Linked DNA regions of Oryzias latipes. The protein of the gene in region 3 purifies or fractionates together with the protein of the main gene of each other region. This does not show direct contact. Links are inferred from orthologs where the notes say so. Each region holds a gene or a part of one and is shown on either strand. Other genes may lie near its edges.

Evidence for each region.
Region 1: the proteins of AP-3 complex subunit mu-1 (region 3) and rabl6 purify together in Homo sapiens (co-immunoprecipitation; 3 studies listed by BioGRID and IntAct, counting the BioPlex papers as one, with this or other methods). This does not show direct contact. The link is inferred for Oryzias latipes from reciprocal best matches to the Homo sapiens genes AP3M1 and RABL6.
Region 2: the proteins of AP-3 complex subunit mu-1 (region 3) and ap3s2 purify together in Homo sapiens (co-immunoprecipitation; 3 studies listed by BioGRID and IntAct, counting the BioPlex papers as one, with this or other methods). This does not show direct contact. The link is inferred for Oryzias latipes from reciprocal best matches to the Homo sapiens genes AP3M1 and AP3S2.
Region 4: the proteins of AP-3 complex subunit mu-1 (region 3) and ap3b2 purify together in Homo sapiens (co-immunoprecipitation; 3 studies listed by BioGRID and IntAct, counting the BioPlex papers as one, with this or other methods). This does not show direct contact. The link is inferred for Oryzias latipes from reciprocal best matches to the Homo sapiens genes AP3M1 and AP3B2.

What each region holds. Positions count from the first base shown.
Region 1 is NC_019867.2:28,386,823-28,390,390, forward strand, and holds part of rabl6 (rab-like protein 6), read left to right. Parts: intron 1-2,038; coding exon 2,039-2,179; intron 2,180-3,211; coding exon 3,212-3,317; intron 3,318-3,390; coding exon 3,391-3,494; intron 3,495-3,568. UniProt on the Homo sapiens protein: May enhance cellular proliferation. May reduce growth inhibitory activity of CDKN2A.
Region 2 is NC_019861.2:32,344,453-32,347,584, reverse strand, and holds the end of ap3s2 (AP-3 complex subunit sigma-2), read left to right. Parts: intron 1-1,310; coding exon 1,311-1,418; intron 1,419-1,950; coding exon 1,951-2,076; 3' UTR 2,077-2,623; downstream 2,624-3,132. UniProt on the Homo sapiens protein: Part of the AP-3 complex, an adaptor-related complex which is not clathrin-associated. The complex is associated with the Golgi region as well as more peripheral structures.
Region 3 is NC_019873.2:23,928,998-23,933,113, forward strand, and holds the start of AP-3 complex subunit mu-1, read right to left. Parts: upstream 2,825-4,116; 5' UTR 2,634-2,824; intron 2,422-2,633; 5' UTR 2,417-2,421; coding exon 2,144-2,416; intron 1,048-2,143; coding exon 876-1,047; intron 782-875; coding exon 644-781; intron 557-643; coding exon 471-556; intron 379-470; coding exon 245-378; intron 1-244. UniProt on the Homo sapiens protein: Part of the AP-3 complex, an adaptor-related complex which is not clathrin-associated. The complex is associated with the Golgi region as well as more peripheral structures.
Region 4 is NC_019864.2:10,522,268-10,525,835, reverse strand, and holds part of ap3b2 (AP-3 complex subunit beta-2), read left to right. Parts: coding exon 1-141; intron 142-240; coding exon 241-371; intron 372-3,080; coding exon 3,081-3,119; intron 3,120-3,568.

The DNA.
Region 1 (3,568 bases), on a different chromosome or scaffold from region 3:
CACAGCGAGAGTTTTCATCAGATCATGCAGCCCTAATACCTACTGTAAAGCATGGGGGGGGGGGGGGGGCATCATGCTTTAGGGCTGTTTTCAAGTAAAGGGACCGGGATGATTGATCCGTGTAAAGGAAAGAGTGAATGGGGTCATGTATAGTCAGATTTTGAGTGAAAACCTCCTTCAATCAGCAAGGCAATTGAAGATGAAACGTGGCTGGGTCTTCCAGCATGACAACGATCCCAAACTCACTGCCCGGGTAACAAAGGAATGACTTCATAAGAAGCATTTCAAGGTCCTGGAGTGGCCTAGCCAGTGTTCAGATCTCAACCCCATAGAAAATCTTTGGAGGGAGTTGAAAGTCTGTGTTGCCCAGCAACAGCCCCAAGACATCACTGCTCTAGAGGAGATCTGCATGGAGGAACGGGCCAAAATCCCAGCAACAGGTTTGTGAAAACCTTGGGAAGACTGCTGTCATTACCAAAGTATTGAGTTGAACTTTTGTTATTGACCAAATACTTATTTTCCACCATAATTTGCAAATAAATTCTTTAAAAATTAGACAATAAGATTTTTGAGATTTTTTTTCCTCATTTTTTCTGCCATAGTTGAAGTTTACCCATGATGAAAATTACAAGCCTCCCTCATCTTTTCAAGTGGGACAGCTTGGACATTTGGTGGCTGACTAAATACTTTTTATCCCCACTGTATACGAGAACTGGACCGAGCAGGTCTGGTATCACCCATGAAAATCCAGGTCCAACAAATTGAAGTCAATTAAGTTGCCATTTCTTGTGAGCCGGGCCGTTCGACGTTTCCATGGCAACCGCTCTTGCCAACCAAGAATGAACTTGGAAGTCCACACACCCCTACCACCTGAAAGTGGGCTTGGGAGAATCTGTCAGATGTTTAAAGTGAGACTACATACTGTTACTGAGGCATCTGATTGGTCAGTTTATAATTGCAATAACTTGCATGAAAAAAATAACATAGTGAAAAATATTAGGATTATCAAGAACACATTAAAGAAGCTTTTTGGTGTTTTGGCTTAATGGAGCCAGCAGGTACTTCCTGTTTGGAGGGGGAGGGGTCACTCAGTGTAGTTCTTATATATGATCTGAATGGGACCTTCATGAAGAGGGGGGCAGGGGTTCATTGTGTTGAAGCATGAGATTTATGATTTATGACTGTTTAGAAATTGTCGGGTTTAAAAAAAAAAACGAAAATCTGTTAAAGAATGACAAGTTTATTATTGTGAGATCAATTATTTAATATGATATGTATTATGTTTGTACGTCTTTTTTGCAAATCACTTTTGTTTTGCTTAATAAAAAGTTTTAACAAAAGTATTTTGGTTTAAAAAGTTTCCTGAATTTCATGAATTGATTTTGCAGGTTGTAAATACAATCTGTTCCAATTTTAAAAAAATTCAGCCTTAAGAAATGTAAGACGAGAAAGAAACCTGCTGGTCTCTTTAGTCTGCAGATGTGCGCTTTTCTGTGTGTTCATTTAAAAACAAAACCTGCATCTATTTGATAGATTATTTGATTTTATTCATCAATGACTGCTCTTCAAAGATAAAAGTCCCTGAAAGGTCTTTTTTGTGTTTTGTATTTTGAAATTAATTTTACAAAGAGGAAGGAAAACATTTAGACTAAATGCAGATAAAAAAGACCAAGTTGGGGCCTCTGGACTATTTCAGCTTGATTCAGAATGGATTTGTCTGACGATGTTTAAGTTTGAACAGCAGCTGATAAACCAATGATTGGTGCATAAACTGAAGCCCATAAAAGAAAACATTCTTCTTGATCAAGCAGTGCTCATTGTTTCTCTCTTTGCTCTGAAGATCAGCATTAAAAAACCTTTGTGCGTTCATCACCCTTATGATGCTGCTTGAATCGGTCTATAGCGGAACATGAAATCCAGTTGTCGTCACTTTCCAGAACGGATGGAAATGTCTGTTTCCCTTCATTTCTCCAAATGTTGCTGCTGAAAGCTCTCTGTCTGCAGCCTTTGAAGGTTCTCTCTTCTTTATCACTTCCAGGACCTTCAGCTACATCATGAGAGAGCTGCCCAAGGTGCCCACCCACGTCCCGGTGTGTGTTCTGGGGAACCACAGGGACATGGGCGAGCACCGGGTCATCCTGCCCGACGACATCAGAGACCTGATCGCTGGTCTGAACAGGTAACTGAACGTTACTATCAGTTCTGATGGTCTGCTTTTTGACCCACAATCTGACCCAATCCGAACCGTCTTCTGCTTTAGCTGCTTATTACAAAAAGACATTTGCTGCCAACTTGTCTACAAAAAAAAAAGGATTTTTTAAAATATTTTCTGTCGCTTCAAATAAAAGTTGTGGGTTTTTTATTTTAAATCAATACAAACATCCACATTGGAGACAATAAAATGAGAACTACTGGATCTTGGTTATTTGTTAAGATTGTTTTTGGAAAACCTTCCAAAAAAGAACAAATGCTTTTCAATGAATCAACAGATGTGGTCTGAAGACAGCAGAAATGGAGGTTTTTAAAGCAGTTTTTACTCATTAAAAAATAATCGATTCCTCCGTCAACATCCAAAGCAACAGTTTTTTGCCACTAAAAAGTTTATTTTTGTGGATCAAGGATTCACGAATACTGAAAGGTTCCACCACCGTTTCACATTCCACTTCCTGTCCACACAGCCCCCTCAGTAGCTGATCGTTGCTTTTATGTGCATGTCCACACTGATTAAACGCCGTGGGACTGGAATGGTGTTTCCTGCATTAACAGGCAATGAGGCGCTACACCGGTACACTTCCAGCTAAGTCTGCAGACACAGACAAACATGTTACTGTTTGCACTGGACGATCCGAACATCAGCAACCTGGAGTCAGAATTCCTCTAAAGACGAGGCTGTAACAGCAAGGCTGATGGGAGGACGGACTTTAGGACATGAATGTCGGCTCATTTTTAGTCCACACTCATGCAAACTGAAGGGAAAGCAGGAAACCCCGTCAGGAATGGTTTTGTAGCAGTGGGAGTCCTACATTCATCAATCACAGAGCTGCTTACAGCCAAAGAGTCGACACACTTTGATCCCCTTTGTTCAGATGCTAAATGAAGATGCTGAACAATTTTAAGGTGAACTTTGACCTCTCATTGTGAGGACAGTTAAGCTTTTCTTTACCATTAACTAACCAGCGGCTCTTTCTTTTTTTTCTTCTTTTTTTTGCAGGCCGATGGGATCCTCTTACATCCACTACGCAGAGTCGTCCATGAGGAACGGGTTCGGCTTGAAGTACCTCCACAGATTCTTCAACATTCCTTTCCTTCAGCTGCAGGTCACTTTTTTGTCCTTCACCGTATCGCTTCAGTCCTGCAAATGTCCCATGTGGCCTCGGTGTATGTGTGCAGAGAGAGACGCTCCTGAGGCAACTGGAGACCAACCAGCTGGACATGGACGCCACGCTGGAGGAGCTGTCAGTGCAGCAGGAGACAGAAGACCAGAACTACGACATGTAAGTGTCTGAGAGCTCAAAAAGTTGAAACAGATGCTCTGTTGACATCTATGGGTTTAATCATTGTTAACGTT
Region 2 (3,132 bases), on a different chromosome or scaffold from region 3:
GGCCATAACACAAGGATGACACACAGAAACTCATTCAAATGTGGTCGGATGAATGCAGACTCATTAGAACTTTTTGAGTCAATGTCAAAAACACTCGTCAGCGTACCTTCATACCCGACATCTCCCCATCACTGCAGTTGCTAGCGTCCTCCAGGTTAAAGCACACACAGACCAAGCGCAAAGGTTTGGAACAAAGAATGTTTCTATTCTGAGTACAACCCTCGTTTGACGTTTAAACAAATGCCATATGCATGTCTTTGTGTGCTGCTGCCACAGGGAGGCAGCCTCAGAGATGAGTTGAACGTTTTCACTTTGCGGTCATGACTTTTCCGTTTTTCCTAATTGTGTCTTAATTGGACATAAAAAAGCAAAACAAAAAAAAGAGGACATTTACACTTCTGCTATTTATTTCTCTTTTAGTAAAGAGTATATATATATATTTTTTTATCATTTCTTCTATATGTTGATTAGAAAAGCTTGTTTTTAAAGTTCTGGAGCATTTATGAGCTGCAGCTTCTGCATTTGGGGCAAGAGGTTGAGGAGGATCTTTGAGGGGAAATGTTTATCTGTTGATCAATACAGTTTCTTCCCCACAATATTGGAGCCTTTGGCACATAAACTGTGTTTGTCTGCAGAAAAACGACACGTTTTGTGGTTTAAAAGCATACATGTACTTTTTATGTCTTCACACTTTATTGCTGTAGAATCTCTTCACATTCCTAAAATGTGCACAAATCTGCTCTATAAAATGAAAAAATAAAAACAGAGGTAATGGGCAAGTATTCACAAAGACGATTGGTTAAGTTTGTCTTATTTTGTGTCATTTTTGTCATTATGAGGAAACAATTCAAAAGTCTTGACCTTTTGACCATCAGAAGACAAACGGAGCAGCAGCTGTTGGTTTTTCAAAAGCCTTTGACAAAGAGAGCCTGGACACATGTGCGTTCTTTAATGTTTTAATTGGCGTTTTAACCACCATGTTTCTCAATTTTTCCGAGTTTTTCCAGCTTAGAATGCTGATCAGGCACATCTGTGGTCATCTAGATTGAATTTCCTCAGCGGGAGCTTGATGTCATGCGGGGATGTGGGGTTCATCTGAGGAATGTTCCCGATATGAAGCTTCGAGATGTTTGTTTGTTTTTTTATTTTTATTTCTTCTTTTGTTGTAACTTTGGAGGCTTAAACGCACACAAACAAACGACCGTGAGTCCGTCCTGAAAGCGCAAACAGTTTGACGCCGGTGCCGAATCCGAGCTGGTCTCTGCCGAACTCCGGACTGCGCTACCCGCTGTGCTCTGCTCGCTCCGCAGGTCCATTACATCCTGCAGGAGGTGGTGATGGGGGGCATGGTGCTGGAGACCAACATGAACGAGATCGTGGCGCAGGTCGAGGTGCAGAACCGCATGGAGAAGTCAGAGGTCAGAGCGGCGCTGCCCGCATCAAAGGGCAACACTTCACAGGCTTCTTTAGCTCATCAGCTGCAGCTGGTGTGACGGCGAAAAGCGGAGGTCCCGCGAGGTTTCGGTGACTCTGAGGGTTAAGGAAAAGCAAAAACAGACCAGTCAGAGCCTCTTAAAGTGACTGCTGTCATGAAAAGAAACGTCAGGAAGTTGCAGAAAAACTTCCCTCACATTGTCTGATTGACATCTAAAACTCTGCTTTTAGAACATCTGGAAAAAACGGTCTCAAATCCAAAATGTCTGTTCGTGATTAATGACAGAAATATCTCCTCGTACTCCGGATGATTGACACTTCCTGGTGTCTTCTTTCTTGTTTTAAACGAGCTGTTTTTACAGCCTAAACATATTGGTCGGTCTAAACTCCTCAGCATCTTCTGGGGAGGTTGCCAACCCGTCCCCAGCGTCAGCATTTCAACTTTCCATGCTTGTGAAGCCGCTATGTATTTTAAAGGTGTTCTCTCCCCCCCCCCCCCCCCCCCCCCCCGCACAGGGAGGTCTGTCTGCGGCCCCCGCTCGTGCCGTTTCCGCCGTGAAGAACATGAACCTTCCAGAGATTCCCCGCAACATCAACATCGGGGACATCAACATCAAAGTGCCGAGCCTCTCCCCGTTCTGAGGAGCGTCCCCCCCCCCCCCCCCATCTTGGTGGTTATGGTCCCTGCTTCCCTTCGCCGTGTTGCAGGTCCCCCTCCAGTCCCAGATGCTCATTCCTGTGGCTGCATGCGGAGAGGCAGTCCCATTGAAACAGGCTTTGAAATCATTTGCACTCCTCCATCGGCCTCACGTTCATCAGCAGCCTGACTGAAAGGCTTCAGGACTTTAACTTTTTCCTGAGACTTTAATTGCTCAAACACATTTGTTTTGTTTTCTTTTTATTGTGATTTATTCTTTTTATCCCCCCCCCCCGTCTGGAATATATTTCATTTCGGGAGTCGGTTTGAAAGCTGAATGTTTCCCCTAAGTGAAGCTCGTGCCGACAGCTGAAACGCTGACTTCCAGCAGACCAACATCTGGTTGTTCATCTGTAAAGTTGTGTAATTAGTTGTGTTTTGTGGTCCCAATGTCGTGTTTTACCATGAAATGTCGTCAAAGTGGAGTCTTATATCTCAGTCTGCAAGGCATTTCTTGACAAGGTAAATGAAGTAATAAATTCAACCCATCCATCTTGTCGGTGCTGTCTTGGTATCTGCAGGTGAGCAGGTCTTCCGGTGAAACCAGCAGAACATTCTGTACCTCAGGCGGTCGGAGGTTTTGCTCAACCCCAATGAAGTTTTTTAGTCTTGTTGATCCAGCCGCATTCTTTTGGTCCCTCTTGCCGCTAATTTAGGGATCTATTTTTTTTTTTTTCTCAACTGAGGAAGTTGTTCCCTCCCCTGAGTTCCCAGGAAAACCTGCGAGCGCTCCTCACCTCCCACTCCCACTCCCAGCCTCACAGATGCGAAGGGCTCACATCAGGCAGGGATCTCTGCAGCTCCGCTCCCATGTTTCAGGCTTTCTGAGACCGGTACGTACACTTCTGCTGGAAATTCATGCAACACACTTGGATTCACTTAAGCTGTGCCTGCTTTCACTGCCAGGGGCGCCTTTTTTTAAAAAAAGAAAAAAATTTTTTTTTATAGCTGCCGCCATGTGGTAAACATGTTTTTTGTGCAGTAAATGATTTCCTGATGTT
Region 3 (4,116 bases):
AAAATCATAGAAATGACAAAGGAACAGAGTTATGCCAAAATTTAATTGCAACAACCTCCAATTTAAACTATGCTTTAAGAGGCTAAACTGTATATTGAAAGTAATTTTCTTTGTGGTTGAAAACTTTTATCCAGCTCTGAATTTTTATAACCTGAGGATAGGATGACATCTTCATATATGCAGTCCTCCTCATAATCCATAGCCAGCCCTAGTCACCCCATTGCTCTCCCCATGAATCACTTACTTCTGAGAGCTGACTTGATATGACATGAGAGTGAAGTTTCCATCTGGAGGGATGAAAGACAAAACCCGTTCCGACTCCCAGCGTTTGAACCTCACGCAGGGATGAAAGCTCACATCATCCAGGAGACGAGGATTCTGTCAATAATACATCAATAATGAGCAAAATTTAGACTTGAACAAAAGTGCACAGATGATCTAAATACAGATATGGGGGGAAATGAGCCCACCATGAAGGACAAAGTGAGATCCGGCATCCCGGTAAGCCTCACACAAGCTTCAATGACCCCCTGGATCTCTGCAAATACTGTTGTCCCTGTTCAGTAAACAAAGTCACCGGTATTACTGTGCATTTAACTGCATTTCCCACCAACTGCTTTATTCTTCTCTTCTTTTCAAGTACCTGATTTATCGAGAATTGCATCAATTTCTTCGATCACATCAAAATATGCCTCATTGTTTGTGTACTTGACACCAGCCCTTCTCCATGGAACATTAGACAGCTGACCTGTTGGCAAAGTGTTTCCAACATTGCTACCTCCTGGAAAAAACAAATGAAATGTAATGTTAACGCTGCCCTTCAGTGTGACTTAAAGAGCCAGAAGTTCACAATGTTCCTTGTGACGTTTGTTTACCTGTTAGTGTATTGACGACTGACCGCAGAATGTTGGGAGGCTTTATCATCTCCTTGAGGACATTGGACTCGGTGGCGAGCGGAAATCCGTTGTCGAGCATCTCCTCCAATAGCTCGTAAACAATCACTACATTATCCTTGATTACAGTTTCTGAACATTCTCCAAAGTAATCCTGCAAAAAAAAAAAAAAAATGTTACTGAAAGGACAACAGTGGCTGTCCCTTTGAGCAGCGTCAGCAGACCAATATGGGCAATAACGTAAGTTCTGTGTTCTATTAGAAAGAGTGTAGCACAATTGAGAGTGCTGTACTTCTAAGCACTTGAAGAGCCTTTTGATATTACTTTGGATCGCAGATTTAATAAAATCCCTTTAATTTGCATTAAAGCACACAAAACTATCAATTTAATATTTTCAAAGATATTTTTTGTGTTTTTCCTTTTCTGCTTTGTCACCATACCTGCATGTACACATGGTACATTTACTATTAACTGAAATCTGACAATTCTTCCTTTTTTTAACATGAAACCCATTCAGCAACATTTCTTACAGTGCCCCATGACAATTTCCGTCATAAACACAGTTTAGTTTAGACAAAATAAAACATAAGTCACAAAGTAAAATATCTTTATCGTGTATTAACAAATCCTTCCATAGCCATTTAGCCTGCATGGGGTATATAATGGGATTTTATTAAAAAGACGTATGATATATGAGTCAACACTCTCCAAGCTCTTTTAAGTAATCTTATTTATGGTTTTATACAACGTCTTTAACGCTTCCAAGAATAAAATCATTTTAACCCTAACCAACATCAGGCACAGCACTTTGCATTACCAGTCCCCAATTTGGAGGTACTGGTTTGGCCACTTTATTAGGTTTATAATTGGTGTATTCACTTGTATTTTAATTATTTTGTATGTCTTGTGTTTCTTTTTAATGGTGTTGACATTTACACTTCGAGTCTGAAATAAAAATACTTTTTTATTGGTTTAAATGATAATTCCAAAGACGATCCCTGGTTTAAGTCAGCACAAAATACTAACTGCAGTCAAGGTTAAGGTTGCTGCTGAAATTCTTATATTTGGCCAAACTAATGCCTCAAAGAATGTCTTATAAAGGACTTTTTAGTTATATCTTTAATATATATTATATACTTACATGAAAGTGCAGCAAGAAGGAAACTTATTCCTAGAGCTTGACTAGAAGCACTTAAGATCTGGCACACACTTATCACAAAGAAGACATTCAGGTAAGAAATCAATACTACCAAGAATGTATCTCCAACTCTGTGCAGGAACTCGATGACAAAAAGTGGAGGCACTTCAGTCTGGATGGCAGACAGGAAGAAGATCTTGTCCCTGTATATACTGATGAGATAGTGGTGTGGGGTCTGCAGGACAGGGGCCACATTTTCTGGGTCTACTGCTTTTTCCTTAGCTTCGAAAAAGTAATCACAAACACTCCGGCTGATAACACTCTTCCAGTGTTTCTCCAGGAAAATGTCTCCTGAGTGGTTAATCAGGAACAGACTGTCGATCATCTCAGCTGCAGAAGGAAACGTTGTTGTTTGAGTTGGTTCTCTTAGACCAGATGGCACACGATAACTACACAATGTCGGTCACATGATTCAAATAACTTAAACTAAACAGTTTGTAAAAAATAAAAAAAATGAAAAGACTTTTGAAATATTATCTGAAAAGTTAAAAGTTTATTGTGCTGAGTGAGATAACAGAAAGAAAAATATGAATCATACTTACCAACTTATCGTTAATCCTGTCAGAGGAAGACCAACATGTAAAGTGCGAAATATTTTTACAGCTTTTACAAAGTTTTAGCTGTAGATCACTTGCTTTAAAAAAAGAAAAAACTCGATTCAACTACAGGGAAGAATACTCAGTTGGTGCCAATATGGAAGTATATCTCATAGGCATCTCAGGGGACGCCTACAGCTATGTGCACACGTAAGCAGAAAGAACTGAATTGTGCTACTAGACTAATAGTTGAAAAACGGGTATATTTACGCTATTGAAGTGGCATTCACGATAATCTAATAAAGTGTAATATTCTTCCCCTCCATTTTTTTATTTAAAGTTAGTGGGTTTATTTTTAATCAGGCAAAATCAGAGGACAGCTGTTTTGCTCTCATTGTTGTCAGTCAGTGGGTTAAAAAAACCGGTGTATAGTTTTGCAGGCAACCTTTGACAACGATCTAAGCCGCGCATCAGACCATTCAGTTTTCGGTGTTCTTTAAAATAGCTAATCCATTGTTGTATGTCAGCATTATTGTGTGGAAAGGTTTTGTTAGAATATTACAAATTTTTAAAGAAAAACTATTTGGAAAACTCAATATGATTTTTTGTATTTTGATGGCATTTTAACGTGTACTGTTGTGAAACGTACGCATTTCCCCATGGTATAACACAATTAATGACAGTATTTGGAAGTTTCCGAAGTTTTATTCACCATTTTATTGTATGTATATGATTAGAAAAAGTAGCACCTATAACTACTACAGCTCCTCGTTAAACTGAGTTGGGCAGGAACCATACTGTCTATGGCAGCAACAACTTACCTACAAGTCACTACCCAGGGAAAACAACAAACTTCCTTGATACGACTGCATTTTCGAAAGATAATTGCAAAGACAAAAGGATTAATATGGGGGGGGGGTAGATTTTGTAAACAATGTGAAGAAACATTCATATATTTAATTTCGACCTATGATCACAAAAAATTAGTTTGGAAGTAATTGTCAGTATGATATAATGACTCAATTTTTTCTCGATTTCTTCCTGACATGGAAAAACAGATCCTGTATGGTTTTACTGATTATGAAAAGTTACTTCACAATTTTATTGGTTACATTTCCTGATTTTATTAACAAAATATTACATTCATTAAACTACATTTGGCTTTAAACCTCAAAATTCCTTTGAATTAATTGCTCAAATCAGACATTATATACACCCAGTACCTACAGAACAGCAGTTAAAACCTATCATCTGTCTCAGCTTTATAGATTAAATAGCTACTTTTATTTATGTTGTTTTTACATTTTTGAAGAAAAAAAAAGGTATCAAAGTTAGGAGGAGGAGGCAGGAGGAAGGGTTATGGTGAAAATTAGATGCAAGGGTCAAAGACTTGAATGCAGGTTTGGCCACATGCAACTGAGTTACAATCATTCAATCATTGGAAAATATCTAACTATAAAATGTGCAACGAGTATCAGACTATAGAAAC
Region 4 (3,568 bases), on a different chromosome or scaffold from region 3:
AGAACTATGACATCCGTGACCGCGCACGCTTCATTCGTCAGCTCATTGTTCCCACCGAGAAGAGTGGTGCTCTCAGCAAGTACGCAAAGAAACTGTTCCTCGCCCTCAAACCTGCTCCGGTCCTCGAGTCTCCATTTAAAGGTAAAGACGCTCAGAGACTCTAATTTATGCTTCCTTCCGTGTATTTAAGTCACAGATTCCGGTTTCTGTCAGTCATTCTTGTGGGGTTTTTTTTTCCAGATCGAGACCACTTCCAGCTGGGTTCACTGTCCCACCTGCTTAATGCCAAAGCCGGGGGCTACCAGGAGTTGCCTGACTGGCCCGAAGCCGCCCCTGACCCCTCCGTGCGCAACGTGGAGGTGAAGGAGTCTGTGCGTGCAGTGGGAACAGTAACATACAGAGACACAGGGGCCCTCTGGGGTCTACAGGGGCCCCAAAAGATGGAGGGGAGCGAGGGTTGCTCCTTTCGCAGAGCAGTGCTTCAGAGGGGGTTGAAGAGGGTCGCCAGAGTTACCTCAAACTCCAATATAACACTGATTTTCTCCCACTCATCATTCATTCATCTTCTGCTCGTTAGCATGGCGACCTCATCGGGATCGTCTCGCCACACGGATGCTGCCTAACACCCATAGAGGAGGAATGAAGTGTTTTCCCAAACCTAACTAAAGCTCAAAAGAAAAAGAAAAAAATCAAAATCTGTCTTTGGAGATTTTATGTGGAGTTCAGCGCTTCCCATGATCCTCTCTGCTACACTGGCTTCGGTTGGGCAGCAGCCTCCTCGCCCCGCCCACATCCCTCCTCACCGCTGTGTGAGCCACCAGCACATGCTCTGCAGAAGGGAGCTGGCTTATTTCAAGTCTGCAGGGACACCACTGCAAAAGTTCACACCAAATCTGTTTCATTTGGATTCTTTTTCCCAAAATGTGCTCAATTCAAGTTTATAAGGGAGTAAAATGATCTGCAAAGCTCTCCTCTTCTCCAGCCCCTTCGCTTCATGTGCTTCTGGTGCAACAGTTTGATCTCAGAGAAACCAGGACATCAAGGCTTAGGTGTCACGTAGCGATGACCCTAAGGCTTGATTTTGTTGCATGATGTTGTTCATAACTCCTCATTTAATCAGCTGTGATGCAGATTTCAAGATGAGGCCACAGGTGCAGTCCATGGAGACACTGTTTCTGTTCTGCTTGTAGAGATTTGTCACTTTGATAGGAACAAAAAAAAGTTTATCTGTACTTTTGAATAGTTTAACATGATCTTATGCAGACATGCAGCTGTGAGGTAGTTTTTGTTTTACTTAAAACATACATTTCTTTTAACTCTGGTTAAACAATCATGGTAATTTTATACTGGTTTCTAAAATACAAAAAAAGTTATAAAAGAAAGTTTTAATGACTCGATTTTGGCTCATTTTAAGTTTCATTTTTAAAGAAACTCAACAAAACAAAACCCTTAAATTCAAAAGAGCCAATGGTTCATTTAAAGAACATAGAAAACATGTTTTTTTTAAAACAAGGGGAAAACAAAAACTTTTTGTCTAATTTGTACGTTTCTGAAGTGCAATTAATAATTATGAATTAATCAGCTAGTAAAAAATCTGGCAATTATTTAAATGTAGGCTTTATTACCTGGAACTAATGAAATAAATTAGTTTTTGTTTTGTTTATTAGTAACAAAATTCACCCTTTTTTTTCCTGGTAACAAAGATTTTTCACAATAATTCAAATAAATTGTCAAACTAAAGTTGACAAAAATGGGTGTGGTGATGCTTCATACGTGAAGCCTCAAAGCAGCAAACCACTCTGAAGCAGCGCTTAAAATGACCACCAGCCAGGAGAGCCATTCATCAGCAGCACTCACCCGCTGTCTCCCCCTCTGCACACCGCACGCAGCCGGAGGAGGTCGTGACCTCCAGCGAGGGGCGGATCAGCCTGCTTGGAGACTGGCGAGAGGTGCTCCTCCCTGTGGTGTGGAGTGCAGTGGAGTCTCCAGGACTCTTTTTCTTCTCTCATTTTAATTCCTGCCTTTCACCGCTATGATTGGATACGATGGTCTAATCTAATCTAATCCTTACCCTCAAATCTATTCCTTGTTAAATAAAAATAGGTTTAAAAATGGACAAATATTACGATTAAAACCTGATCTGGGAACTCAAAGCTACAGGGTGTTTCCCTTTTCCCCCTTCCTGCACTCTTGTGAAATTTGTGACACAACTGTCACAAATCCAGTGTGGTTCTGTGTTTTTCCTCTTCCTCATCTTCATCATTTAAGCATGATTTGATTGGAGGAAAAACACTCATACTAATTGCATCTATGTCTGTTTTCTTGCCGTGTTATCAAGCAGGAATAAGAAAGGTTCTTTGGTTGCAGTGTATCTGCAGTTTTGAACTCAGGTTGTGTCCAAATTCCTTCACTACTTAGCGTGCTATAAAGGGCGGTCGCCATTTTTTTCAGCGTGCAAAAATAAATCCAGTGCCCAAGAAATTACCCAGAAGTCTCTGCGACAAACCAGTGTGCATCATTGCTCACTAGACTGATGAATATAGACCACGATCCATTGCGTTTTAACAATTTTTCATGTAAAAGAAATGCATTTTAAACCTTTTTTTATTATAAATCATCCAGTTTTCATCATCAGAAGACGGTGTATTCATGAATAGTCTTCTTAAAATGATCATATTAATTAGGTTTATACTTCAGGAAATCTGTGATGTCATATTTGCCATTAAATAAATGTAGTGATCATGGTGTCGGAATTGCTTTTAAAATTTAGGGCACTTGATAGCCCCGCACTTTATAGTTTTTAAGTAGTTAGGCAGTGGAGAGGGAATTGGGACACAGTCTGTTATATTGGAGTTCTAATTATGGCCGTTTTGGAGCTAATTTTTTAATCTGGAGGGTTTTTTTCTTTTGTCTCTGTAATCCAGACTGTTCTCACACGTTGTGATGTGTTGCCCTTTAACCTTTCCTCTGTCTGATTTTTACTGCTCTCCTGACTTTTCTCTAAAGAAAAAAACTGTTCTTCTTTTTCTCACCCCCCCTCATCTCCATTCCAACCTTTTTTTCTTTTCTACGTCCGCCAGGTTTTTGCGCTGCTTGAAAGAGTCACAACACTAACGAGTGTGAGTCAGTTAGCGGCAAAGAGCCAAACATCCTTGAGCCCCAACCCACACAGCCGCTGAGAACCCAAATGCTTCATGACACCCCCCTTTTGCCTGACCTACTAGTTGCTGTTCTGTGCTTAGCTGAGCCAAAGCCCCCCCCCCCCCAAGAGTCAGCACCCTCTTTCCCCCGCCATTAAAGAAGTGATTGTTTCAGCAGGGCCTCCTCTCAAACTACCTCGGCGTGGGTCTAAACTGGGTTTGGGACACTTCCACGCTCACCTTGTAGGAGAAATCACTTCTCTTAATGGAAAAACTCCCTGTTTGTTTTTTTAAAAGCTGCAACTGGACATGAAGGCAACACCTGGTGCTCAAAAAAAAAAAAAGGCTGCCATGCAACTGTTCCTGTATGAGCTGTCAGATCTGCAGCAGCAGCAGCGTCTGGCTTCATTTGGCTGCATCAGGCATAA